2 linked regions of the Oreochromis niloticus genome follow. The protein of the gene in region 1 interacts with the protein of each later gene in a biochemical or structural test. Links are inferred from orthologs where the notes say so. Each region holds a gene or a part of one and is shown in the gene's direction. Other genes may lie near its edges.

Evidence for each region.
Region 2: the proteins of ube2s (region 1) and anapc11 form a complex in vitro, tested with the Homo sapiens proteins (31 studies listed by BioGRID). The link is inferred for Oreochromis niloticus from reciprocal best matches to the Homo sapiens genes UBE2S and ANAPC11.

What each region holds. Positions count from the first base shown.
Region 1 is NC_031976.2:22,314,679-22,322,776, forward strand, and holds the start of ube2s (ubiquitin-conjugating enzyme E2 S), read left to right. Parts: upstream 1-4,614; 5' UTR 4,615-4,841; coding exon 4,842-4,844; intron 4,845-6,461; coding exon 6,462-6,609; intron 6,610-8,098. UniProt on the Homo sapiens protein: Accepts ubiquitin from the E1 complex and catalyzes its covalent attachment to other proteins. Catalyzes 'Lys-11'-linked polyubiquitination.
Region 2 is NC_031971.2:37,631,226-37,639,384, forward strand, and holds anapc11 (anaphase-promoting complex subunit 11), read left to right. Parts: upstream 1-5,026; 5' UTR 5,027-5,185; exon of another isoform or gene 5,186-5,189; intron 5,190-5,293; 5' UTR 5,294-5,302; coding exon 5,303-5,411; intron 5,412-6,801; coding exon 6,802-6,947; 3' UTR 6,948-7,350; downstream 7,351-8,159. UniProt on the Homo sapiens protein: Together with the cullin protein ANAPC2, constitutes the catalytic component of the anaphase promoting complex/cyclosome (APC/C), a cell cycle-regulated E3 ubiquitin ligase that controls progression through mitosis and the G1 phase of the cell cycle.

The sequences.
Region 1 (8,098 bases):
TCTTCAACTCACCAATGGTGTCACACACACACACTTCTTCCCCGCGTCTAATCACTGAGCTGATGTTGAAGCGCCCCCTAGTGACGAGCCTGGTTACTGCTGACTGCGGTGATACTGACTGAAGTTAATGAAGTGAGCTAAGCCTCAACTAAAAACTAAAAGTACATATCCGGACTCGAAAAAACAACAACAACTATATTCTAGGAAAAAGATAACTAAATGAAATTAAGTTGTACAACCACCAAACTGAAATAAACGAAATAAATAAATACATGAAAATATGTAGGAAATGTTGTTTTCAAAGCCTGCCTGACTAAGGCTTTGATGCATTGTATGGTGAGACTTGAGATTTCTACATGACTGCCTTATTCTATTCTGAAATAGTGGACAATGATGTTTGCAGACGACATTGTGATTTGTAGTAAGAACCAGGAGTAGGTTGAAGAGCTGAAGAAAGTCAGTAGAAGTATGACTAAACTAGACTAGAGAGGTGAAAAGGTAAAGTTTCAAGGAGCAGAGGTTGCAACGTTGGATGAGTTTAAATACCTGGGGTCACATCCAAGACAACAAACAGTGCATAAGAGAGGTTAAGAACAGACAGTGGTGGAGATGAGTGTGGGGGGTGATTTGTGACAGAAGGATAGCAGCAAGAGTAAAAAAAAAAAGGCTTACAAGATAGTTGTGACACCTGCTGTCATGTCTGGTTTGGAGACGGTGCTACTGACAAAGAGACAGGAGGCTGAGCTGGAGAGGGAAGGCTCAAATGGTTCGGGGATGTGCTGTGGAAGGATGGTGGATGTATTGGACAAAGGATATTGAATGTGCAGCTGCCAGGCAGGAGGAAAAAAGGAAGTCCACCACGAAGATTCATGGATGTAGGGAAGGAGGACATGCAAAGGGTTGGTGTGTCACAGGAGGATGTTAGGGGCAGGGTGAAATGGAGGCAGATGATCTGATGTGGCGACCCCTAAAGGAAGGAGTCGAAAAATGTATGTATTCTGAAATTATTAGCAAATTATTATTAGCTCTTAATAAAAATTTTCCCTATTATAAAAGAAAGTTAGAACTTAAAACAATTTAAAATGGAAGCAAGCAAATCCATAAAGTGAAAACTGTAAATTTTCAAATTTACATTTTTGCAGAAAAAATGTTAAATCTGTCTATTTTTTATTGAGATAAATGTATTTATTTGCAGTTGTGCAGGAAAAATTTTAATGGTTGGATGGAAGTCCAGTTTAGGAAAATCAATTTTGTTTAATGTGTCTAATAGAATAACAAAATCATTTTTAGTTTTAAACAGATTTTTGAAATATTTTTACAGACTTTATGGCAAGTAATCTAATAGATTTGTTAATTACTGTAACTGTTAGGGTGACAAAATCCTAAGCTTAGTCTTACTGTAGAGGCTAAGCCTACGCTTGAAGCCACTGAGGTACTCAATGACAGGGATGTCACTGGTATGCATGAATATATTTAACTTGATACAGTCCAATAACTCCAGCCTTACTCATCTTGTCCTTTAGATTCTTTATTTCCACAACAAAAAACTCAAAAAGTGACCTTTAGCGGCATACATAAGGTATCAACCCAAATGACTCCTACACTTATTTACATAAACTCCTACTACTGTAAAGGTGACTTGTTATGCTTAAATATTTAAATCTATCTATCTATCTATCTATCTATCTATCTATCTATCTATCTATCTATCTATCTATCTATCTATCTATCTATCTATCTATCTATCTATCTATCTATCTATCTATAAGATAAGATAAGATAACCTTTATTAGTCCCACACGTGGGAAATTTGTTTTGTCACAGCAGGAAGTGGACAGTGCAAAAGTTATGAAGCAAAAATTAGAATAAAATAAAATAAGAATAAATACAGTACACAACTGTACAGAATAGAATAAAATAAAATACTATATACAGTAGAATAAAATAGAATAAAATATACAATAAGATAAAAATAGAATACAAATGCTATATACAACTATCTATCTATCTATCTCATAAAATATGGCAGTGTTTTGGAGTCACTGAATCACCTCTTTAAACTTGATTATAGACAGTGGGACAATTTTGGCAAAAAGGTCAAGATTTGGTCATGATGACCTGTCTGATCGAGCATCAGTATGCGGAAGAAGGGTGATTTAAGTGACTTTGAACATGGCATTGAACATGCATTGGTGGTGTCAGACAGACTGGTCTGAGTATTTCAGAAACTGCTGATCTACTGGGATTTTCCCACACAACCATCTGTAGGGTTACAGAAGATCCAAAAACAGAGAAAATATCTAGTGATCAACAGTTCTCAAATGCTCAAATGTCAGGGGTCAGAGGACAACAGCCAGACTTTTTCGAGCAGATAGGAAAGCAATAGCAACTCAAATAAACCACTTATTCTAACAAAAGCATGCAGAAGAGCATTTCTGAAAGCACAACATTCTTAAAGCTACAGGGCTACCGTTACAGAAGATCATACTGGGTGCCACTCCTGCCAGGTAAGAACAGGAAACTGAGGCTACAATTAATGCAGGCTCACAAAGATTGGACAATCAAATACGGGAAAATGTTGCCCAGAGTCTTTCTGCTATAAACATTAAACACGAAAGTACAAATCCATCCTGCCTTGTCTCAATGGTCAGGGTTACTGCTGGTGTTGTAATAATGTGAGGACATTTTCCTGGCCAATTTTGGGTACCAACTGAGCCTACCTGTGATTATGTCCATCCCCTCATGACCACAGTGTGCATATTTTCTGATGGCTGCTTCCAACAGGATAACACACCATGTCACAAACCTCAAATAATCTCAAACTGGTGTCTTGAATAGGGATGGGTATCGAAAACCGGTTCTTGTTGAGAACCGGTTCCCACTGTTTCAATTCCTTGGAATTGTTTGCCATTTTTGCAAACGATTCCCTTATCGATTCCAGTCGCCCTGAATGACGTCACCACGTTGCGGAGCGTCATTTACCTGGCAGGGCGCCTAAGCGGCTCAAACGCTCAAAAGTTTGATTATACTTTACGAGAACGGATGACAACAGGGCAACTTGCAATACTTGCAAAGTAGATATTTAATTTAAGGGAGGAAACACTACGAATATGCAAAAGCGTTTGCTCACAAAACACGCGATAACCTTAAATGAATGTCATGTTTTTAATTCCGCTCCGGACTCGTGAATCTCAACCCAGCAGCAGCGGTAATGTTTGCACGTCCTCTCCCGTTAATACGGCAGGTAAATAATCAGCTAACAGTGCATATTATGTTAGCGCGATCTGCCTTATTACAAAACCTGCCATTACTGTGCGCTGCATTTAGGCGACCATGATGAGAGAGACAGAGTCTGGCTGGCTCAGATGCTGGCAGTTCTCGCTGCAGTCTACCGGTAGTGTCTCCTTTCAGGCCAGGATAGACGAATGTCACCGAGCAGCCTTTTGTGGTCAAAGGCTTGCACCCATTTGCCACAGCAGATGCCCCCGATTTTCCGTAAGTGAATGTGTTTAATTGTAGGCAGGGACATTACTGGATATTCTTGTGTAATTGCTACAGAATAATTTATGTTAAACTTTGTAAATGTAAAATAATAAAGTAAATATTCTTCTGTAGCAATAACAATTTTTTTTCCTGGGGACCCTGTGACACCCCATTGAAGAGCCGTAGGCTGTGGATCTCTTAAGATCTCACTGTTGGTTTTGTAAGGCCATGTTACTCCTAAATTTCTATCTTGTTCAAAGAGAAGATATAAAACAAAGTTCTAAGCTATTCGACCTTAGTGTTCTCCTTTTTTAAAAAGAATCGATAAGAGAATCGATAAAGAATCGAATCGTTAAACAGAATCGAAAATGGAATCGGAATCGTGAAAATCTTATCAATACCCAGCCCTAGTCTTGAACAAGAAAATTAGTTCACTGTGCTCAAATGGCCTCCACAGCCAGTTTACCTCAGTCTAATAGAGCACCTTTGGGCTGTGGTGGAAAGGCACATTCACATCATGGATGTGCAGCCATGTGCAGCAAATCTGCTTCTATTGTGTGATGCTATCATGTCAATCTGAACCAAAATTTCTGAGGAATGTTTCCAGCACCTTGTTGAATGTCATGAAGACTTAAAATAGTTCTGAAGGCAAAAATGGCTCCAGAGCAGTACTAACAAGGTGTAGGTCACCTAAAAGTGTGTCTGGTGAATAAATGTTAATTGTGTTGTTATTTTTGGTGGTGTATTGCTCAGGCACGTTTCTGTCGTACACGAATACGAAAAAAACTGTGTGTGTAATTTTAGTCAGTTATTGTTAGATTAGAGTTAACTTAATTAACCAACATTAAAGGAAACCTATCATACAACGTAACAAAAGTGATCCCGCTTATCAAGTTAAGTATTTATCTATTGAATAAATTAGGAAGGCTGGTTTAAACAGTGGGCGTTTCTTAATTTTGGTGTTCAATGTAGCTGATGCTGATCTTTCAGTATCGATTAGATTTGAGAGTTTTTTAAATGGACCTATCGCTGGCGTGTATCAGATGTACTTTTCACTCTATGTGACTGATAGGGCTTTTTGTCGTGACGCAGCTCTATCGCTGCATTTCGATTGGTTTGTCTCTTCTGACGTTTCACACCACTATGCCGCTCATTGGTACGTGCTTTAAGGTTCAACTGAGGATCGTATTTTTGTTCCTGTGTCAACGTAGAGAAGAAAAGAAGAACGGCGATCATCAGCCAGCCGGCTAAGTTTTCATCGAATATAGTTTTTCACTCCTCTAGACTCTATTAGAAACGGTTCTTTATATCTGACACCAGCCAGACACCCACCACCCAAGCAGAGCTCCTTTTTGAAGATGGTAAGATCAACCTCTTAGCTAACGGCTAATGGGAGACACTGCTAGCTCTAACCGATTTTAGCTGTCGAGTTTTTTTTATTTTTCGATTTTTATGGGCGGTTGTGTCTATTTGTTAAAAGTTAATGCGTTTATTTAATGTCTTCAGATGTATATTCGTGTAATTAATAAGTACCTTCATACACAATAGAAACTATTACCACTAAACCAAAAGCTTCTTTAACACGAACTCTAATCGAGGCATTTGCTAGGCTAGGTATGCTAACGGTAACATAAAGTTAACATTGCCCGTCGATTGCTTAACTGATATTAATTATCTACTGTTGTGCCTTTAAAGCATACTTCAAGTTGATCAAGTTATAACTCCTCTGACTTCTGTGAGGATGCTTAACGTGGTGCGGGGACCGCTGGCTCGATGATGAAACCGTAGCTCCCCCAGAGGAGCTCCAGCTCATGTTCATTACGTAAATACGTGTTAAAATTAGGAAGATAATGACTAGCAAGCGCGCATTACATAGAAAAGCGTGTGTAAAATGATAGCAGATCCGCAGAGGAAAATGTAGATGGTCTCAGGTGGTACCGATGATAGATTTTTCATCTGCCATATGGCCGATCGACACATTATTAAAATGTGTGAAACGAAATCATCAAAGCCATAGAAAAAAATTATGCTTTAGTGTGTAATTAGTCGATACCTACATAATAAACATTTTGATAATGTTAAATTTACTTCACTCACACTCGCTGTATATTAAAGAACAGGTGTCCGGTGTGCTAACAGACCAACATATTGAGGCAGTGTCATATTTATTTGTTAGTCCAAGTTTAGGAAAGTAAACACGTGGCTGTTAAATGTTTACATCTACTGAGACATTCCTACAAAGGTTTTTGCAGTAAGCCAAAAACTAGGTGTGAAATAAATATTTGAGTAGACTGAAATACAAAAGAAAGTGAAAATCAAAATGTAGAGGAAATAGCCTTAGCTTTAGCCAGTTTGCTTGTCAACATAAACTGTCTAATGCTGCAACTAAATATTTTCAAAGATTAAAAATGAAAAACTAAAATGAGCGAACCCATTCTGGAAATTAAACGAATGCTTAAAAATAAAAAGTCAAAACATGTGGAAAATATAAACTAATTTTTTTTTAAAAAGTCCCCAAGTCAGCTGAAGTAACACTGAATGGTGTAAGACAGTTGTTGCTATAGAAAAGGGAAATAAATGTACATTGTACAAACTATCACATAACAATATAGAACAAAGTTTAGACCCCTTTTCTGCTTATAGGAAGTTGGGGGGAAAAAACGTAATAAAATGTGCTTCATTTTTTTCTGGACATTCTTGATGTCAAAACTGCATAATTTGTTTAAGTCTACTTCTCAGCATTAGTAACACATCCCATTGTCCTACACAAGGATATTCTTTTCTTTTTTCTGAATCTGGTGATCCTATATTTGTTGAGTTTTTTTCAGCTGCTTTGGCTAACATGGCCTAAATGTAAAGCTTTATCTTAACAGTACCTGAGGTGAAGTTAGGGCCTTCATTTTTCCTCATTCTTAGTGAGAGTACAGCTTGATCATTCCTCTCAGCGCTGTTGCTAAACCATTGTTATGTCTCTCCAGAACTCCAATGTGGAGAATTTGCCACCTCATGTTCTTCGCTTGGTCTACAAAGAAGTTTCAGCTTTAGCAGCAGATCCACCCGAGGGCATTAAGATTTATCCCAGCGAAGAAGACATAACAGAGCTTCACACAGCAATAGAGGGACCAGGTAAGGATTATGATATGGTGTCATCACTTCACACTTAGAGCAGGACCGACACAACTCTTGGGAGTAAACTCACCACGTGTATTTGCTGTATGGTCTTTTGATAAGTTAGGGCTTTAGACTCTCAAAAGTTTCTTTAAGATCTCTAGTTTGAATCAGATTTGTCAAGTTTATCCTGACTCAAAATATATTTTATCATAAAAGTTCAGTACAGAGCATTTCGTATTTCATTAAGTAGACAAATTGTCAGAGACTGACGAGTAAAATATACTTAATGAAACCATACTAATTGTATTACTTCTTTCCTCGAATAGCTAATGTGGAAATTTATTTTCAAAATCTAAGTTATTCAGTGATAAAATATCCTAGTTTAGTCACCTTGCAGCTTGTATTTTCAAGGGTTTTTTGTGTATTCATAAATATATTATCTCTCAGGGTTTTTCCTGCATGCAAAAATTTCTAGGTTTCTATCAAAAATATTTTAGCCCCTTTTCTTTTTAGACTGTATTTTATTTACTTCAACATTACATGCATTCTTGTTTTTTAAAATGTCCAGAAATAAATTCAGATTTCTGTTAAGTAAGGTGACAGAGACTCGCCGCCTTCACTGTGTGCCAGGCAGTCGTGCTAGTGTGTTCTGGTCATTAATCAAAGGGTCACCAGTGTCCAGGAAAAAACCTGAGCTCTGCGTCATGTTTGCAGCGAACTGTGCATTTAAAGTGTGTTAGTTACTTCACCACTCAGCATCCAGAAAAACAGCTTTATACTCTAATATTTAAAGGCTGAGAGTTTCTTATTGATAGCCAACTTTGTATTATCAGCTCAAGGTAATAACATGACTGGTGATGGCTGAGCCGAGTCAGCTGTCTGCTCCATGATTTTTAGGTATTATGTGGTTAACTATTGAAGCTTAAATGGAAGCCATCAGCTTTCATGGAATCTTTTACTTACCTGTACATAATTTAGTTTTTGTGCCATTAATTTGTAGAATAATAAATCCTCAATGCCTGTTTTACATTTCTATTTCCCATTCGTGGATCCTTCAAAATTTATGATGTCGTGTAATCACTTAAATTATGGATTTTGTGGGTGTTGTTAATGTCATGTGAGACACATAAGCCACTTGAACTATCATGATATCTTGCCACTATGCACTCATTGCTTCAGACGTTATTTTTAAGTAGGCCTTGAAGAGCCAGACACTTGTCCACATTTTCTACTCCTCCACAGAGGCCCGTCGCTGCATCAGTTTCATTTATTGGGCACTGACATTTAGTATTTATATCTGATTTCAGATCAGGTAATTCATTATGTTAAAGCGGCAGTACAGTGTGTTTCATAACGTCAAATTTATGTCGTTGTTACTCGGCATACCTGGTTGAAACGATAACGGGTTAAAAGCTGAAGCGTACACAGACAGATGGTGATGATGGTCAAACAAGAAATATCAGGTTATTTCATTGGAAACTGCTAGAAGTTAAATGCAGGAAAC
Region 2 (8,159 bases), on another chromosome or scaffold:
GAAGAAAGTTGATAGAGAACATTTAGAAATGAGTATTATGAGAGTCAAAGACTTGAACTATCAAAGTGACGTGGGCCCAGTGTTGAATAACCAAAGATAAAAAGGCAGCACTCACAATACTTCAGGCATAAGTTGACAGATCCAACAGTCATTCCTGTCATGTGACCAAACTTGAGTCATGTTTGACATGATTGGTAAAGGTGACTTATTCCTGAAGTCTTGTGCGACTGCTGCCTTTTTATCTTTGGTTATACAACACAGGCCATACTTTACTTAAGAAATGTTTACACTCTGGCTACAGTCCTAACCAGCATGCACACACCGCCCTGTTATCTCGGTGTGCTTTCAGGGTTTGAAAGGACATTTTAAAGTCGTGTCAAAAAGTACATCATGATTGTCCTTTGACTTTGGTTCTGGTATTTCAAAAACAACAATGTCATTACCTCTTCCTCTGCAGTGAAATGTTGTCTTTTTCTTTTTATGTCTGCGCTGCACCGCTGGGCCACCGTCATCACGGGTGCTGATTGCAGATGAACTTTTTCTTGTGTACAGGCAGACAGACGGGCAAACTCGAGTCGGTAAACGGCTGAATTCTGTGGCACCACCGTTTCTTGTCTACAGACATTTTGTCAGGAGAGAAACAAAAATAATTTGCCAGATTTTCTCCTCGACACGTGTTCTGTCCTCGTAGTAAGGGATGCACTGACTGTGAAATACTAGGCCGTAATCCAGCACTGATACTGACATTTTTTTTTTCAGTATTTATTTTGTTTTTGTTCTAGGTGAAATGAAAAGAAAAAAAAAAACTTTATTTAAAAAAAAAATGCATGTTTTAGCTCTTCATGGAACAGTTTTTGAACATTTAGCCAGCGCAAAAGTCAGTAACGCCATCTTATCAGCTGATACTTGGCTGATTCATCGGTGCATCCCTACCTCATGCTTTGAAAATATATATAAAAAAATAATCTTAACGTGGAACGGCCGCAGTTACTTTGCTTTCTGTCAAGCGTCTGCACATTTGAGGAACTCAAGTTAAATGAAGCAGTCAAGGAAATGCCTTGTCACTGATTGGTGAATGTGCTACTGATTGGCTGGCGCTTGCTAACCAATGAAATGCCTGAATTTGGACGGTTGTGGTCAGTTGGGTGGAACTGCCATCGTTACTTTTCCAGAGTGATGTAGATTTCAGTGTGCTTTAGGGGTGAATGTTTCTTTGTGATTTATCATTTGACAGCGCGCCAGTAGACCACATCGATACTGTACAAGTGCTAGTGTTGGTTTGTTTGTGTTTTGGAGACAATTGATGGGTGAAGTGGCATGGCGGCCTGCCGCATGCTCACGCGGTGATTGGGTTTACGGATCTCTTATTTAAGATTTAAGATATAGCCATTTTAAGAGCCATGTGTCAATGAATAATACCATTTTAGCCTTTGTAAGCATCACTTAGTCACCACTGTAATAGACAAGCGATCGTGAGTCGAATGAACATTTCATTTTCTTTTTTAAAACGTGTTCTATTTGGTTGATAAGCATTGATGACTTCGCACAGATCAGACTCCCCGTCGAGGGCAGAAATGTTCAGCTTTGCCAAGAGTCATTGGGTGCTGTTGCCATGGTTACACAGTGCAGCTGACAACAACGGCAAAAAAATAAGAGGGGGGGGGTTTCCTCATACATATATGCACACAGATGCCACACTGGTTGTTGCTCTTCACTGTAATGACTTCACGCAGCGCCATGTTCCTCGGGCAGCGCACATCTGCACACGATCACGGATCATTGTACCTCGCTGAATTTTCAACAGATTTTCGAGCAGTTTGGGTTACAAACGTTAAAACTTTGTTTATGATACATGTGCTGAAACAGTTATAATGCTTAATCTAATGTTACAGTCCGGCAGCTGCTTCTTTGTGATACTCTGCTGTAAAAAGCAACAGGATTACTGCATCACTTTAACGTGTTTATTGTCCCGTCAAAGTTTGACTTGAAAAGAGAGCTGCAGATGAGCCAGTGTTGGTCTTTCTCTCACTCCTGCAGTCTGTCTTTATTCTGGGACTCTTTAACCAAAACAAGTCCCCCTGAAAGCAGCTCTGTAGGTTTCTGTAGCTCACATGACTCAAGTCTTTCTAGAGCATGTTGGAGCACTTGGACCGAATATCAGATCAAATATTTAATGATAAATAAAATATGAATCTCCTTTAGCTGATATAAGACAGTCGGGACTACTTTTTGGTATACCAAATTAAAGACATTTGTAACGGTAAAACAACTGTGGAAAGTTGGTTTTAGCATTTCTTTCACTGAAACATCAAAAAGAAGCACAAAAATTTGGCGTTATTTATAGGACTGGATGACAGGAAATGCTCAGACCTCGTGAGCAAGACAGCTGTGGCATCTGTGTGTTCATATTTGTTTTCCCTCCTACGAAAAAAAAAAAAATAAGGACCCTGCCTGTTTTTGATACACAAAACTGCTTCTTTTTTTCCTTTTTTTTTAATAGTTACTGGTTAACTTGTGGTATCTACATGTCATTAACTGCAATAACATGAATTGTTTTACTGAGTGGCCCTCTTCGTGATGAGGGCTATGGGTGTGTGATGGGGTAAAGGGGTGAATGTTAATTACAGTGGGGGGAGGAAGATGCCTGTAAAATGTGTTTCTCCACTCTTCTCTCTTCCTGCTCTAAGACGGCACACTTGACTTCACCTGGTTATTCCTTCAGGCGATTTGATCTTCATCTTCTCACAGGTTCGACTGATGAGGCAACAGTTCAAACCTGACTACTGCTTTATATTCCTTTTACTATTCTCACACTTTCACACTCCAGTTTTGTGTGTAGATCTTAGAAAGCAGAGTGGACCTTTTTTGAATTGAAGCTGTAGGCATAAGTAAGTGTGCTCAGATGCGATGGGTTTTCATTTCCATTTCAGTTCATTCTCTTGAACACCAGAAATTTCACCTGCCTCTGACTTTAGCTGTTGGAGGGTGAGCACCTCTCACCAACATCTCACTGAAAAATGAGGGCTATAACTGTCTGTCGTGACTGTTCATCACATTCATCAGTCTCTCTGCTCCCTGTTCATCTTTGCATATCTTCTCTTTACCTTTGTGTGAGATATTGTGTAAAAAGGATGTGTGGATTAATGAGAAAATGGTGGCTTTACGTTTTTCAGCATTAAACTTGAATTATAAGAAACTGCAGACTCCTGTCACGGTTATTTAAGTCCTGTATTAAAATGTTTTTATTACTTAGAACTAAAAATTGCTTTTACATTCCTTGCAGTCATCTGTTAGTGACATGGTGATCTGTGAAGTTACAAATACGGGCCTCATGCTGCATCTCCAACTCCACTAATGATCAAAGGTTCTCTGCACTGAGTGACCTGCATTTCATCACTGAAAGTTGATCATCTCAGATTCTGTAAAATGGAAATGGTGCTTGTTTCCCTTAATGTAAAAATAATGTTAGAAAAAATAGAAACGGATACATAAAATTTTAACAAGATGCAGGAATAGAAAGTGTACACAAAAATGTCCGGGAGAAGGAAGACCAGATGTGCTTCCAGTGCTGTAAGTGTGAGCATTACCTCAGCACACTGGATTGCAGACCAACTACATCTAGTGGACATCTAGCATTACAATTGCTTGTAAAGAAAACAAAACAAAATGGAGACGTGTCAAGGTTTTCATGTATGTGTGCATATTTGTCCTCAGCTCGCTCTTAGCCCATGACTGCACATACACCAAACCAACACCACTGTCAAATTTGCTGATGATGGCAGGTGACGAGTTCAGCCTCTGACTGTATGATGTTGTCACAATAATCTGGACGTAAACACAGCAAAAAGCAGAGAAGCAATGTAGACTTAAGAAACCTGAAGCATACCGAGCACTCTGCTCCAGGCGTACAGGTGGAGGAAGTGGAGAGCTTTAAGTTCCTTGGTGTGGACATCCTGGTCGATCTCACCCACACCACACATCTCCCATCGGGTGGGGAAAGGCTTTATATCCTTAGGAAGTTAAAGATCCTCTCTCATCACCTGCTGACCAGCTTCTCTCAGTCAACAATAGCGGGCCTCATCATCTATTGCTGCACGGTGTGGTTCATCAAAAACGGAAAAGACCTGCTTGGGTCATTCCAGACGTGTGATACTACCATCCCTGAGTGAGATTTACGCAGGATGAGTGCAAAAAAAACTAAGTTTAATGGATACATCCTCAACATCACCTGAAGCAATGCCACAGTCCTCTGGAAATGGTTCTGCTTCTGATTGAGCTCTAACAGATTACAATAGATTACAAATTACAAAACAGCTTCTTCCCACAGGCAAGTCAAATACATCCCCCCAGTTCTTCTCCTATTCTACTGCAATAAACCCCTACCCCAAGAACTACAAGTGAATTAACCCCTGTCCCTCTCATTCTTCATTTTTTGCACTGTATATTATAATCATCATGCACTATTATTTTGCATATACTACCTCGCTGTTTGTATCCTTTTATTTTCATATTCATGCTCTTGTCTGTTTTGATGTTGCTGCGAAAACTAGTTGTTTTAAACATTAACAATAAGGATTTATTTATTAATTTCCAAATGTGCTGCTTTTATGTGCACATTACAGATTTATTGTTGTACAAGTGTCCATCCTGCAAATATTTCAATTTCAATTCTGTTTAGCCCCTTAAAAAATCATTGTTATTATTTCTTATATTATAGAAAATATCAGGTAGGTCCAAATGAATGAGATTGCCTCAAATGGTCAATGATAGAATAAAGGTTCATTAAAATAAGTATGTTTGTCAAAAAATAAGCAAGTGTAAACATTAGAATGACAGCATCACCTTTTCAAAATCGTTACAGAGCTCGTGAAACATCTGGCAGGAGCTCCTTTGTGTTACTAACCTGATGATGTCAGGATTGTTTTCTTTAAAATCAGATCTTTGGTGCTCTTTTATTTTGAGGTTTCCCCCCATCCGACTGTAGAGGGCAGCATGCGCCATCCCGGGACATAGCCTGGCAGTCTTTCAACAGAAGAAGAAGAGACGATTTTTGCCCGGGTTGCTAAAACATCACTTTTATGTTGTAGACTTCAGTCAAACAAGCTCTAAATGATTTGTTTTTTGCTAAGAAACGGACTAACCTAACGAGTGTGAGATACCTGAAGGAGACGGTGGTCGCTGCCTTGTACGTAAGAACGTGTTGCTGAACATTAATATTCAGAAATCGTGTGTCAACATTAGCTTTCGTGCTAGCGTTAGCTGCTCCGGTGTGATGCTTTTGTGCTCCTGTCAGATCCGCAGGATGAAGGTGAAAATCAAACAGTGGAACGGGGTTGCCTCCTGGCTCTGGGTGGCCAACGATGACAACTGTGGGATCTGCAGGATGGCCTTCAACGGCTGCTGTCCTGACTGTGAGTATCAGAGCTAATAACATAGCATTAAGTAACGAGTGTCCGCATTAAAGATGCAAACATAACAAAACAAGATTATTATTTTGGTGGTTTTGCTTCTAAAACATATAACGCTTTACGTATTATCCGATCGACAATATGCCAAATTTATCCTGCCCCTCCCGTTTGTACAAACTAAGTAGTGAGAACGATGGCAGAGACGGGAAAAAATCACCACTCTACAAAAAAACTTTTCTACAAGCTGTGGAACAATTTTAGAAAAATGTTCCTCAAAATAAAATTGTAAAGCCTCAGAATATCGCGTCGTCTACAGCACATAGTATCTGTGTGAAGGGGTTAAGGGCAAAAATCAATAGGATACCTGTGATCTTAGGGCTGTACTGCATTTAAAACAGACGCGATTTTGTCATGGAAATCACTGCAAGGGCTCAATAACATTTCCAGAAATCACTGTCAGTGAAGACAGTTTTACCACAAATATCCACAAATCCAGGTTTGTGTCATCCAAAGAGCAAACTGTATGTGAACATGATCAACATCTCCTCTGGGCTCATTCAAAATGGACCGAGGCAAAGTAGAAAAACTGTTCTTAGGTCAGATGAATTGAAATTTGAAATTGTACTGGGTCACCACATCCTCTGGACTAAAGAGGAGAGGAACCTTCCTGGTTGTTAACAGCACAGACGCTGTTGACACGGTAGCATGAAGGAAAAGGTGTCGCTGTGAGAGGCGTCTGAAAGATATTAATTTGGGATATTTGTGGGAGAGATTAACTTCTTGTGAAGCTTGTCTGGGCTCAGCCTTACAGACAGGATGAGCACTTTAGTCAGGAGACGCTCAAAGCAGAACCTCAGCTCCTCTAGATCGAAAGGAGACACTTGAGGTTGTTCTGGTGGTGTTTCAGGCATGTCCAACTGGGAGGAGGCCCCGAGTTAGGATAAAGAGCTTCCACCACCACTTATCACAGATAAGTTGCGATGGAAAATGGATGGATGGCTGCTCCAGTGACCCATCTTGGAGATCAACTCCAGCTGCAGTGTCTTGTAGTATTGTCCGTAGGTTCTTTAGGTTGATATTGAAGACCGCCACAACAGCAGCTAGGTCTGTGAGCCACTCACTGGAGAAAAGGCAACACGGGAAAGGTCACGGGTAGCTAGTTAGCAGCAACTCAACTTTCAAAATAAGAGCAAATGCCTAAATTGATCGGGGAATGGCGCTGCTCACACAAATGGATGAAATGAGTTCTTAAATATACTTAAGTGGTCTGTGTGGGGAAACACTTGTTTTATCCTCATTTAGTATTACAAGAGGATACAAGTATCTGCTAATCAGCAACTGAATGCAAAATCCTGCCCAGTATCTCTAATGTGTTTGTTTGTTTGTTTTGCAGGCAAAGTGCCTGGGGATGACTGCCCGCTGGTCTGGGGTCAGTGCTCCCACTGTTTCCACATGCACTGCATCCTGAAGTGGCTGAACTCACAGCAGGTCCAGCAGCAGTGCCCCATGTGCCGGCAGGAGTGGAAGTTCAAGGAGTGAACCTGTGGAGGCGTCGCTGCCACAGAGACGAAAGGCTCGCTCACAGACTTTTATGTAGACTGTAAATAAATCTGTGTTGGTACTTCTACTAATGCAGAACACACGCTGAATATGTTTTATTCTACTGGTAAGGATTTGTGATTAAATTAAATAAGAAAAAAAACATGCATTGTATTGAGTCTGTCTTGAAGGTCTGGCTGATTATTTCCTTGGATCGTGAAGTTTGACTTTGATTTCATGGCAGCTCCACACTGATGTATTATTTCTTGTTTGTTTGTGTAGCTTTTCACTGTAAAACAAAGACTGTAGCTTTTCATATGTCAGAACCTGTCTGGATAAAAATGGAAAAAAAATTTACAAGGTTATCAAAACAATGCTGATTAAATATCTTCTATTCAATTTATCCCTTAACTCTTGGACGTCTCCAAAAACATAAATTGTTTAAATAAGGTCTTAAATAACTTAAGTGCTCTTTAACAATTATTCTCTAAGTCTGCATCTCTGCTGGAGCCACTACACACCATACTTTCAGAAGATATCCTCTTATTTACTGACACACTGGGGTTGGAGACATTTCTGTAGATGAGCTTAGATCTGGGGACTGTGAAGGCCGTAGCAGATGATTCACATCATTTTCATCCTCAAACTATTCAGTGACCCCTGCTGTGCTGTGGCGGGAGATGACTCCCATCCGGATCCAGGTGTTTCATCAAGAACAAAGGTGGTCCAACATGATCACTGTGTAATGATTTGCACTGACCGTTCCTTCCAGTGCTTTTTATTTCACTCCTCACTCAGGAGCCTGTATTTTTGTCATCAATGATTAATAAAATGTTTGTACTGAAAAATTACAGTCAGTCATTCTAGATTTGCTCCATATTCTCACCTGGCTAAAGTAATTTAGTTTTATATTTTAGTTTTTGTCCTGTAATTTTTTTTTTTAAGTTCGGTTTCACGTAGTAACTAGAGGAAACTGTGGAGGACATGAACATGTCATGTGGTCATCCCAGTTTAGATTCTTTTAAAAAGCTGATTGTATTGAAATTTTTAAAACTTTTAAAACCTTTTATTTTATATTGTTGGTTTATTTGTTCATTTCAGTCACTTTTGTAAGTTTTTGCGAGGACTCAAAAATTAATATATTAATGTGATATATGGCATGAATCCTTTAATTTTATTTCAGTTAACTATGATGTTTGTTTTTAGTTTCAG